3 linked regions of the Oryzias latipes genome follow. The protein of the gene in region 1 interacts with the protein of each later gene in a pairwise test. Links are inferred from orthologs where the notes say so. Each region holds a gene or a part of one and is shown in the gene's direction. Other genes may lie near its edges.

Region 1 (3,570 bases):
CAATCAATCTTCTGTACCGAGTCTCCTGTCCAGATACATATAGATTTCCATATCGACAGAAATCTTCTAGATGAGATCTTTGTTTTGTATTTTATTATATTGGACGTATTTTTCCTTGAAGATTTAACCTTAAAGATTAGTAAACAAATAGAAAAGTGTAAAAATCTTCCTTTCTGTCTGACTACAGTGTGTAGTGAGGAGTTTTTCAGCCTTAAAACATCTGGAATCCTGCATTTAATAGTTATTATTTGAAGCCAAATGCACTTTTTTCATTTAATAGTTAATTTAAATAATCATTGTTCGTGTAATTTTATTTATTTTTTGGAATAAACAGTTGATGAAGAACACGTCTCACTCGCGTTTCAAATAACAGTTGCTGGACAGACTTCAAACGGTGGTACAAGAGAAAGACGAACAGAGAGAGTGCCACTACATGCGTGAAAATGATGCAAGAGGCAGAATGAAGAGGTTAACGGTTTTACCACTACAGGGGCAATAATTTGGATTTTTTTAGTCACTTTTAAAACCCTTTTTTTTTTTACATAAAAATAATTCGATATCATTCAAGTAGTTACAAAAAGTTTCTTTGTTTGTTTTTGTTGATAAAATGGAATAAAAATCCTCTGCAAAAGAGGTTATTTGTTTGCACAAAAAAAAAGTTCTAGTTTTGAAATCCCAACTAGTTAAGTTCGGGGGTTTTGTTCCACGAAAGCGACGGGTTAGGGGGTCACCTTTGTGATATTGCCTGATTCATGGGTCATAGTCCTTTTTCTGTGTAAAAATGTTTCCCTTTTGCCGCTTTTCCCTTCATGTTCCCGCTCAGGAGGAGCCAGAATGCGGCTCTCTGTCATACAGCGCAAAGCTTTGGGCCTGCAGCTGTTACAGGGCTTTTAACTAGGCGTCGACCGATTATCGGTGCCGATATTTGTTATTGGGACAGAGATCGGGGGCCTTTGAAATGGTTATTTTGGCTCAGATTCTGTCTCCACCACTGTCTGGCTCATGGCGTGATCTGAATGGCTGTGCAAACGCGCTGCTGGTAACTCGGGTGAAACTTTTAATGTGTTGACGTGTTTTAACGGCGTTAAGAAATCAAATGTTTCCCGTACTAAGGAAGAAAAAAAAGTGCTTGTGCGTCTCAGCGGCTCTGTGTGCAGGTTTGACTACAGCCCCTCCCTCCCCACCAGATGAAAGACTTATAGTTCTGAGTTGACTCTGAGGGGGACTGTTTCCTGTGTCTGAGTTTGTGTGTCTTTGCGTGTTTGTGTTACAGCTTGGCTCTTGCCAGCCTGAACAAACACACTGAAGCTGTCGGTTACTACAAGAAGGCGCTGGAGTTGGACCCAGACAATGACACCTACAAGACCAACCTGAAGATCGCAGAGGAGAAGATGGAGACGTCCAGTCCGGTAAGGAGGCGGGGCGTTTGGCCGGCGTCCGGGGGGGGGTCTGGTTCTGAAGCTGTGTTGTGTGTCAGACTGCAGGTATGGGCGGGGTGGACCTGGCCGGTCTTCTCAGTAACCCCGGCTTCATGAACATGGTGAGAGCAGATCGGTGCGACGTCGGCAGGTTGAAGCGCCGCTGCTCGTCTCTCATGCTTTTGTCACTTCCTGTCCGCAGGCGTCCTCTCTGATGAGCAACCCTCAGGTTCAGCAACTGTAAGTCTGACTCTTTCTTCCCTCTACAGTTTCCTCCATGGCGGCCAGCTATTTGCCGTTAAACTTTGATATGAAGAGGTCATTCCTCTGTTCTTCCTCTTTGTCTTTCACACACTGACACACACACGCGCTCTAGACACCATCTAGATGTCCCGATCTGCTCTCAAGCAAGACTGAAGTAGAATCGTAGCGGAGTCTTATTATGATCAGCACTTTCAAATAAATGCTCTACTAGAAGTCTGCATATCATTTTTATATACATATCTAGAGAGAGAGATCTTAAAAACAACCAAAGCCAATAAATGGTTACTTTGACACAAGTTAGCCATTAGTATTCATCATCATATTCTTGCCACAACAGCAATTTTTATTTTATTATTTTTTAAAGCAAGCTGTCAATAGTTAAATGGAGATATGAATCACATCTGATCAAAAATGTTCAATAGTTCTGAATATTCTAAAGCTACAATCGCCAAACTAAGTTAATAGTTTCTCTATTGTTACTTGATTGATAAATCTACTTCCCAGAAGTGCTCTGATTAAGTGTTAAATAACAAAAGAAGAAAAATACAATACGTAAAATACAAGTCGGGGAAAACCGGGATCTGTTTAAATTTCAAATGGATTCCAAAAGTACTGGATCAGGTCTCTGAATCAGCAGATTCTCAGAATCAAATGACTTGGAATCAGATTGGAGCCCAAAAGAACTTGATCCGGACTTTCCCATCGCGCACACACACCTCTAAAAAAGCCTCCAGGTCAACGACTGAATCCAAAGTTATTTGGTTGCTTTTAGTTCAAACTTAAAAACAAAGTTAGTTTTTTTCTTATTTTTTCATTGGTTTCATGAAAGAAATGTGATCCTTTCTGGTTTCTGAAATCATATGCAGCATTTCAGAAAATGAGAGATTTTCAGGTGTCAGTCATTCAGTTCAGAAGACGATCACTTCCTGTGTCTGACCGAACCAAACGCACCCCCGAGCGTTCTCCTGCAGACAAGCGAAAATGTACAACGAAAGGCCAAATAAAAAGAAAGTTAGCAGCAGCCATTAAAGCGTTTAGCAGCTTTTATTGGTCAGAGGTGAGTAAATGCTCGGCCGCTCTCACACGGAACCACCGAAGAGCCCGAAACTCGACAGATGTGGTTGAAGACCGTTTGGAAATGAAAGTTTGTCATCACGAACCGGGTTAAAGAAAGCAGAAAAAGCAGGAACAAAGAATGAAAAGCTGTTCAAGTTTTACTCACTGATGTAATTTTCCTTCAGTTTTTTAATTTTTCAAATGACTTTTCAATGAACATCTTTGTTTTTTTTTTATGGGCTGACCTGTTTGTTCTTTAGGATGTCCGGGATGATGTCTGGAGCTTATGGCGGGTTGGGAGGCGGCAGTGGAGGAGGTGGAGTAGGAGGAGTAGGAGGAGGAGGAGGCGGTGGTGGCGGCGGCGGCGGCGGCAGTGGCATTGCAGCCCCCACACCCCCCACAGCCCCTGCAGCAGGAGATCTGTCGGGGCTAATCCAGGCGTGCGTACCCACACTCAGGTCTGTGCTGGAGGGAGAGCTTGCCAGGGCTGACCGCTGTTTGTGTTGCAGAGGGCAGCAGTTCGCTCAGCAGATGCAGCAGCAGAACCCCGAACTCATCGAACAGCTGAGGAATCAAATCCGCAACCGAACGCCCAGTGCCGGGAACGAGGAGCAGCCGTGACACCCGCAGAAGGTACCGAGCTGCAGCCGCACTGCACACAAAGACCAGCCACCGCAAGCTGAAGGGAAAACCCATTCAAGACGAAAAAGTGGACCAGATCAAGAGCTAAAGAGCTCCAGCAGTCAGTCCTGTGCACTCAGCAGATCACTGACTAACCCCACCCGACATCATAAGCTCCTCCCCCTCACTCCAAAAATACCTCTAGATAATA
Region 2 (4,037 bases), on another chromosome or scaffold:
ATGTTGTTTTTCACATCCCCCAGCCGGGACTTGAACCTGAGGCCGTCTTGCTGTGAGGCAAGAGCGCTAACCAAAGCACCAAATCAAGTTATAGTTATTGTTGTTATAGTTCGAAAAAATGCTGTTTTCTCTTTACATTTCATTGTTTGGTGGATACAAATTGTAACACTAACATAAATACAGTACAGACCAAAAGTTTGGACAGACCTTCTCATTCAAAGAGTTTTATTTATTTTCATGACTATGAAAATTGTAGATTCACACCGAAGGCATCAAAACTGTGAATTAACACACGTGGAATTATATACATAACCAAAAAGTGTGAAACAACAGAGAATATGTCATATTCTAGTTCTTCATAATACCCTCCTTTTGCTTTGAATACTGCTTTGCACACTCCTGGCATTCTTTTGGCAAAAAATTATTCATTGGCCCAAATTTCGCTCTTGCCTCACAGCAAGAAGGCCCCCGGTTCAAGTCCCGGCTGGGGGATGTGAAAAACAACATCAATGGGGGACCTTTCTGTGTGGAGTTTGCATGTTCTTCCTGTGCATGCGTGGGTTCTCTCCGGCTTCCTCCCACCGTCCAAAAACATGCTTCATAGGTTAATTGGCAACTCTAAATTGTCCTTAAGTGTGAGAGTGAATGGGTGTGTGATTGTGGACGTTCTACCCTGTGACAGACTGGCGACCCGTCCAGGGTGTCCCCTGCCTTCGCCCACAAGTGGCTGGGATAGGCTCCAGCAGCCCCCAAAAGAGAAAAACGGTTAAGAAAATGAATGAATGGCCCAAATGTTAACTGGTATTTCTTATTAGTGTTGTTTTTAAATGTTAAATAGTCTCAATATGAATTGTAATAACCCCTGTGAGGCATTTCCGTTCTGCTCTATATCTCTGTTGAGATTTTTTTTAATTGTTATTATTAACAAATATTGCACATACAAAATACCAAATATTGACACTCCACACTATGTGCAAAAGACATTCACTTTTGCCAGGAAAATGAACAAAAATGTCAAAAAGCTATAATAAAAGCAATGTAAAACAAGTTAAGCAAACATAATAAAGTCACAGGAGTATGTTAAAGCTTCAAAAGAGACCATGTTTAAACGGTCATAACAGCTTTTTTTTGTCGGTGTAGGATTTAATACTGTTTACATACAGTCTCATTGCTTTCTGGTTTTGTTTTGAAGGGCAACCGGAAGTGGCCCAGTGTGGGCGTGTCCCTCGTGTCCGGGCCATTGTGTCTTGACTCTGCCCTCCTCTGTAGAGACAGGTGTGGAGACTGAGTCCTCCCTCATCCATCCATCCATCCATCCTCCGCCTGCAGTGATGGCCGCCCGCCGCCCGCGCGCTCCGTGTCTGCTGCTGCTGCTGCTGACCGTGGAAGGTGAGCCGGCACGCGCCTTTGTGAAGCGCCGCGTGCAGTCAGTGAGTCAGGGGGAATAACGGTCCTCTGCGGCCTGGAAGCACGCGGCACTTCTATTATTCTATATTACGTGTTGGGTTTTTGACTCGGTTCTTCTGTTTCCCGTTACTATTACTATTACTAATTATTATGATTCTTTTGACTGGCATGGATGAATTTGTATTGAGCCGGCAGCTCCCTGCTGCTGCTGAGGCAGATCATGGGAAAAAACAAAACACATGCATGGTAATATTTCTGTGATTTAATCTTCACTCTGAATGTAAAGGTGACCATTTGCACAGAAGCAACTGTCTCCTTGTGACTGCAGCAACACCACACGTGTGTGGGACGTGGCCGCCTCCCTTTTTCACCTGCAGCCTCCCTTTCTTTGTCTTGCAGCTCGCCCGCCTCCCTGTGTCTGTCTCTCTCTCTCTGCTGCACCTCCTTCTGTGATCCGGCCCCAAAAACTCTAGTCTGCTCGGTTCTGTCCAGATTCTCTGCTGTGAGGTCTTCCTCAGCAAGACTTCTGCTCTCATTTTCTCTGCCCTTCATCACAATTCGTTTTCACGTTTGGGCCGCGGTCCACAGACACATTCCTACCTAAGGGGTCCTCCCCAGAATAAACCACGTTCACTACCTTTCTAAGTCTTTAGGATGTACTTCCAAAAGCTGCAGTCTGTCAATCTGCACTCAGAATCCCCCTCCGTCCCAGCAGCTGCTCCTTTGGGTGGGATACTCCTCAAAACACACAGACCACGACACACAGACGTGTCCTGGGTCGCGTTGCGGATGGAACGTGTGCGCGGTTGTTGTGGAACTGCAGCGGGTTGGCGGTGGAATTTGCTGGGTTTTTGTCTGCCTCTGCTCCTGCTCGTCCTCTGAATGCCAGCGCTGCAGCATTGGCATTCAGAGGATTAGCATGCTGCAGGCGTTCCTGTCCGTTTGTGTTTGTGGGACAGCAGCACCATCTGGACCTGCAGAGGTGGAGTCTTTCTGACGTGTTTCTCTGCTCTCCTCTTCAGTTCTGTCCCAGAATGGCTTCGACCTTTCGGATGCCCTGGATGAGAAGGACGAGCCAAGTAAGTTCTGAGCGTGTGCAAGGGGAGGACATTGACTGTACATGAGAACTGGACTGAGTGACCCCTCCCCCTGGCATTCCAAACAGGAAGTACCCGCTGGCTCCAAGAAGCCAAACTCCCAGAGACTGACTTCTACAGAGAAACAAGCAGCTGTTACTGTCATTTTATTAGTCAGAATCAAATATTCTTGCTCTGATACCTTTTTTTTTAATTGTTATTCAAGTTATAAATTGAAAAGCATGTGGTCGCACGTCAAACGTTTGATTGACAGATCCTCCGCAGCCCACTTTCAAGTGGTAGGAGTGTTTATTTCCAACGAGCTCACTCCTGATCGGTGAGAGGGGTTACCATCAAACTTTATTTATGTAAAAAAAATACAATTCTCATGCATTGCGCAACTTGAAGCACTTTAACATTAAAAACAAACAAACAATATTACAACAAAATCCTACCCTTCATCCTTCCCACTCCCCTCTGTTGACACATATGACCCCTGACCCCATGCACACACAATCTATACTTTATTTCTAAAAGAAATTTGAGGCTTGGCTCTGCTGTGAGGAAAGAGTATTTGGGAATCCGGTCATACGACTTAGACCAATCACTGCTCGTCTGGTTCCAACGTGGCGACGGCCGTATCACGAAAACACTGCAACTGAAGTGACTTCACTTGGAGCCAAAAGTAATCCGTCTTCGATGGATGACATCACGCTCACTCAGTCCAGTTCTATTATACAGTCGCTGTGAAAATAACTAAGAATCATCATCACATCATTCAAGTATTTATATTAATTCAGACATTTCCTGACTTGTGGCAGACAGTAATTAAAGATATACAAAAAAATATATGAATATTTAGTTAATTAGGTTAATGATATGATCAAAATGAGCATTTATATGAGTTTTCTGTTTTAGTTGCCACTTCACATTAGAGGTCTTGGTAAATGTTTCCCAAGGAAACAAGAATAACATCAAACTCTCCTATTATTTTTTATGCGTTTCATTTATTTACATGCGATCAGCACTAAAAGTCATGGAAATCCATGCGTCTTGCTGCATTGCAAGTATGTTAAGTGCGTCCGAGGTTGCATTGTGTTTGTTAAAGTTTCACGCTTCTACGTGTGTGAAGTGTCTTCTGTAAGGGTTAATGGTTGGCGAAGTGTGTATTATCAGAAATGAACGAACTTCAGAGAAGCAACTTTCCTCAGAGGACGATTCAAATGTACCTGCTTATGCCATGGTCACTTACAAAAGAAATAAATATTGAACCAGGTTTTGGACTTTATTCTTGTTATATTTCTGCTGTGGATCACACTGACTATTTGTGACGTGGCGTGTTGTCAGGTTAACATAGCAACGCGCCCCCATAGGCGGCTCGTTTGGCGGTGCCCTCTACCGCAGCGGCAAAGGAAAGCGACACATGCTGATGATCACGATGTGTTAAATAAAGCATCAGTTCAGAGAGAAAGTTCACCTCTTACCGCTTGTTTTTGTCCAGATGATGAAGCAAAAGTTTCTTTTAAAGAAGGCAGCGCAGTGATACAGAACATG
Region 3 (4,237 bases), on another chromosome or scaffold:
TTGTTTTGTTTTATTGATCCACTCAGTGGATAACAAATGATGCCATCATTCTAGTATTTTACAGGTTGGAGTCTGCTTCTGCATTCACTCATACGTCTGAGTTTCAGGGGCAGCTCACACACAACAACATTTATTTAAGTCTTAAATTTACCAGAAAAAAGTCATAACTGTTAAATTACCAGAATAAAGTCGTATATTTAGAACTCTAAAAGAAGTAAATCCAAAAACACCAAAGTTGTCTGTTTATAGCTTGAAGATGAAAGATGTGGAGCATTTTGTGAAGCTTTATTTCTAGTTTTCAAAAACAAAGAAATTCTGAACCTTTTGGTTCAGATAATCAGATTATTATTAGTTTTACCACTTTCGCGTCCAGATCTGTTATACTTCCCTCAGTGAATGTCCCTGCTCAACTCTGAACAGGAAGATTTCTAGAAAGAGATTCTCCGTTTTGTGTCTCTGATAACAACAGCAGCGGTTTCTGAACAGATGTTGGTCCTACCTGCCAGGAGAACCTTGAAGCTCCAGACAATCACCAGCTGCTGGACCTGCATTCTTCCCTGCTCCTCCTCAGAGCTGAACCTCTGAGCAAAGATGAAGAAATCTGTGAGGCAGGCTTTAAAAATACCAAACTCAAACTTCCGTCTGTCTTTCTATACAGGAAGTTTTCTTTCGTAATTTCAGTTTTGGAGTCATAACTCTCAATGCTTAACATTTTCATTTCTGACTGACTTTGAATGTATATTTTTCACCAGAAGCTTTCAGTCTTTAAAAGAATGCAAACATCGAAGAAGTTGCACGCCAACAAAGTTCCTCAAAAATAATTCCATGACTTCCTTGTACTAATTTCTTAAAGCCCTTTATGTTTATCATTTTCTGAAAAGAATCTTAGCAAAGACATTTTTCTTCTTGCAGCTCTTTTGACAAACATCCGTTCTCAGAGACAAATCAACACATTGTTGATTTGAATGGTTTTTATTTTTATTTTCTTTCGCTCACATCTAAAGTAGTTCGTGCACATATAAGTACATTTCCTGTTTATTATCTAACACTGTTGTGACGCATCAGAGCTGCGCAGGTTTTCGCTCCCGCGAGGACCACTTCAAAGTCAAGAACGGTAGGAAGAGCTCTCACTCTGGTAATTATTCTGAAAAACCAAAGTTTGGTTTTAAACGTGTTTGATGCTAATTACGAAAGTTGCCTTTCTGTTTTAAACAATTGTATTACTTTCTGCTAGCATTGATTTTACAGTCAGTTTTATATTGTAATTTTAGTTGTTACGCAAAAAAACGCCAAACTAGCCGCGCAGTGACTCATCAGCTCTCATAGACGATCTTTGCCCAGTCTCATCGCGCGCTGCTCCGCGCAGCCTCCCTGCATCCTCGCGCGAGCATCACTGAAGCAGTGCTCTGGTCAGCGACTCCCGCGCGCCCCTCTGCTCCGCGCAGACGCATGAAGGCCGTCTCCCGGTAGCAGCGACTCCTTCCTCGGTGAATCCTCCGCAGTCGTCGCTCCTCCATGGATGTGAAGTGAAGGCGGACGGAATCCAGTTGCTGTCTCTTCCTCTTCCTCTTATTCTCACCGTCCAGACCGCAGAACCGCACCGAACCACAAAATGGCGGACATGGTGGAGCTGGGACCCGCCTACGGTGAGTTTTTTCAGCTCCATCGGTGCTTCTTTACGGTTTTTCGGTTAAAATGTCGCCTTGCTTGAGGTTTTTCTGTTTTCTGGAAGGTTCCGCCGGTAAAATACCGAGTTGCTCTCTGAACCGGCCCTGCTGTACCGACAGCACCGACCCGTTACAGCCCGGTGGGCCCGACGGTGCCTTTTTTCGCTGTCATTGATTGTATCACAGAATTTCAAGACAATTTTTACTCGGATTTAAATTTCATATTTATATTAAAACGATTATTATTCAAAACTTCACTTATGCAAACAAGTTTGTTTTTTATTTGACTTTTATTTTAATCTATATGTATTTTTGTAAAGAAAAAAATCGTTTATTTATTTAATTTTTTTACTTTTTATCTCTTAATTGTTTTTTTTTTAAATCGCAGTAAAAACTGTCAGTACCTTAATCACGCTCGTGCGCGCGCAGTCCGTTACTTGTGTGCGTGCGCGTGCCAGTAAGGGTGGGTGAGGGGTGACGTCATGTCTGTACTGTTCGCCTGAAAAGCCCACGCATGCGCAGGATTGTCGCTGCTGTCTCATTGTTCTCACAGTTCTCGCCCGTTTTACCGGGAGTACGCCTGAATAGACGCGGGGGTTCGGCGGAACCAGGCCCGGTTCTGTCCCGTGAGAAGCTGTGGATCATTGGGAACCAGGACAGTGTAGTTTCAGACCCATCAGTGGACACTGAACGCCCCGAAGTCCAACTCAAACAGAGAAAGAGTGATTTATAGAGTGGATCGGATAATGACTGGATCCTAGATGTAGATGTTTCAGCCAAAATAAATTCTCTCTAAAGGACATTTTAAGAAAAGAAAAGAGTTGCATTGTTTCTGACTGAGGTCATGTGACCGGCCCTGTGACAGCAGCTTTTGTCCGGCGGTTTCCCGGGTCTCTGGCCTGTCAAACGGGTCTCAGCTGAGCCTGAGTGCGCCTGTATGAGGGTTGCTAGGCAGCCGCGTGAGCCGCTTCCAGCTCTCCCCAGAAGATGACATCATGTGTTGGGAGCGCCAGTGAAAACAGCAACAGGGAGGTTCCTGCAGTCCAGAGCCTCAGCCGCTGCCCAGAGTCCAGATAGATGCCATGTTGCTACACCGCTAATGCTATGTGGAGAATGTGTAAACAGACAGCTCTCAGCAACAGAAAGGGGGGGGGGGGTTGCTCTGCGCCAACAGTCCCGCCCACAAAGAGGTCAACTTCTAATAAACTGGTGCTGCTCTGCAGAAACTATGTCCTAGAAAACGACACAGGATTTTAGATTTAGTCAAAACCAGAATAATCCTAGTTAAAAAAAAACACTGGGGACGATCAGAGGGGGGCTTTAATGTGAAAAAGACCCCCCCACCATGACGGCTGCTTTGTCTCAGACGCCTCAAAGTCTCGTTTGTTTCAGTTGCTGATATGTTACTGAGGAGGTTGATAGTGTGCAGGTTCAGGTCTACACTGTTGTGGGTCGTAGGTGTGAGGCTGCTGTGCTTCAGCAACTCCCCCCCTGAATGAGGCCTGTGTTTATCGCTGCAGTCGGGTTTCCAACAAGCCTCTTCTGTTCCCTGCAAACAAAGAGCTCCTCAAGCTTCTGCAGCTCCTCCTTCCTGTCCCACTGCAGCTCCTCCTTCCTGTCCCACTGCAGCTCCTCCTTCCTGTCCCACTGCACCTCCTTCCTGTCCCACTGCTCCTCCTCCTTCCTGTCCCACTGCACCTCCTCCTTCCTGTCCCACTGCACCTCCTCCTTTCTGTCCCACTGCTCCTCCTCCTTCCTGTCCCACTGCTCCTCCTCCTTCCTGTCCCACTGCAGCTCCTCCTTCCTGTCCCACTGCACCTCCTTTCTGTCCCACAGCTCCTCCTCCTTCCTGTCCCACAGCACCTCCTCCTTCCTGTCCCACTGCAGCTCCTCCTTCCTGTCCCACTGCAGCTCCTCCTTCCTGTCCCACTGCACCTCCTCCTTCCTGTCCCACTGCTCCTCCTCCTTCCTGTCCCACTGCACCTCCTCTGCCTCTCAGCAGCTTCACCTACTCTGGGTTTTCAGACAACCCCCCTGATGTCCCAGAGGAACATGTCACGTTTACTTCATCTACTCTGAGGCGGTTCTCGTTTTGGAACCGTTCTCCCGGTTCTGCTCACAGTTGGTCTGGTTTGATCAGAACCTTTCAGTGACTGCCAGTTGAGCTGTCCTCAGGTGGGATTCGGTAAAATCCACATTTTTCATTAGAGGTTCATTCCGGTTCTGCTCCTGATAATCTGGGTTTGGATCAGAATCCAGCCTCAGCAAGAACCTGGAGTCTGACTCTGTGTTTTATCAGACCAGGACCCGTTTCTAGGACGGTTCTGAATTCTCCAAACATGTCACCTTTAGTTCTAAAAGTGAAGCAAAAAGGCTTCAGGGTGAACCCAGGCCAAAATAAATGACAACCCCCCCCCCCCCCCCCCCCCCTAACTGAAACATGTCATCTTACCTGCAAATGAAAGAAAAGGCAAAGCAAAGACAAAACTCTAACCTCCCTAACCCAACAAAAACAGGAGAAAACATGTACTAAAGAAAATGACAGTTCACCCCTACAGCTTCACTTAACA

The links.
Region 2: the proteins of sgta (region 1) and CD99 antigen-like protein 2 interact in binary tests that used the Homo sapiens proteins (3 or more experiments, as listed by UniProt). The two-hybrid records come from large-scale screens. The link is inferred for Oryzias latipes from reciprocal best matches to the Homo sapiens genes SGTA and CD99L2.
Region 3: the proteins of sgta (region 1) and syt11 interact in binary tests that used the Homo sapiens proteins (3 or more experiments, as listed by UniProt). The two-hybrid records come from large-scale screens. The link is inferred for Oryzias latipes from reciprocal best matches to the Homo sapiens genes SGTA and SYT11.

What each region holds. Positions count from the first base shown.
Region 1 is NC_019862.2:5,208,443-5,212,012, forward strand, and holds part of sgta (small glutamine-rich tetratricopeptide repeat-containing protein alpha), read left to right. Parts: intron 1-1,273; coding exon 1,274-1,409; intron 1,410-1,477; coding exon 1,478-1,540; intron 1,541-1,620; coding exon 1,621-1,658; intron 1,659-2,998; coding exon 2,999-3,178; intron 3,179-3,247; coding exon 3,248-3,359; 3' UTR 3,360-3,371; intron 3,372-3,570. UniProt on the Homo sapiens protein: Co-chaperone that binds misfolded and hydrophobic patches-containing client proteins in the cytosol. Mediates their targeting to the endoplasmic reticulum but also regulates their sorting to the proteasome when targeting fails.
Region 2 is NC_019876.2:27,084,950-27,088,986, forward strand, and holds the start of CD99 antigen-like protein 2, read left to right. Parts: upstream 1-1,188; 5' UTR 1,189-1,331; coding exon 1,332-1,389; intron 1,390-2,429; coding exon 2,430-2,486; intron 2,487-4,037. UniProt on the Homo sapiens protein: Plays a role in a late step of leukocyte extravasation helping cells to overcome the endothelial basement membrane. Acts at the same site as, but independently of, PECAM1.
Region 3 is NC_019874.2:31,725,321-31,729,557, forward strand, and holds the start of syt11 (synaptotagmin-11), read left to right. Parts: upstream 1-1,388; 5' UTR 1,389-1,612; coding exon 1,613-1,646; intron 1,647-4,237. Other genes in the region: uncharacterized protein LOC101164342, read right to left, coding at 500-551. UniProt on the Homo sapiens protein: Synaptotagmin family member involved in vesicular and membrane trafficking which does not bind Ca(2+). Inhibits clathrin-mediated and bulk endocytosis, functions to ensure precision in vesicle retrieval.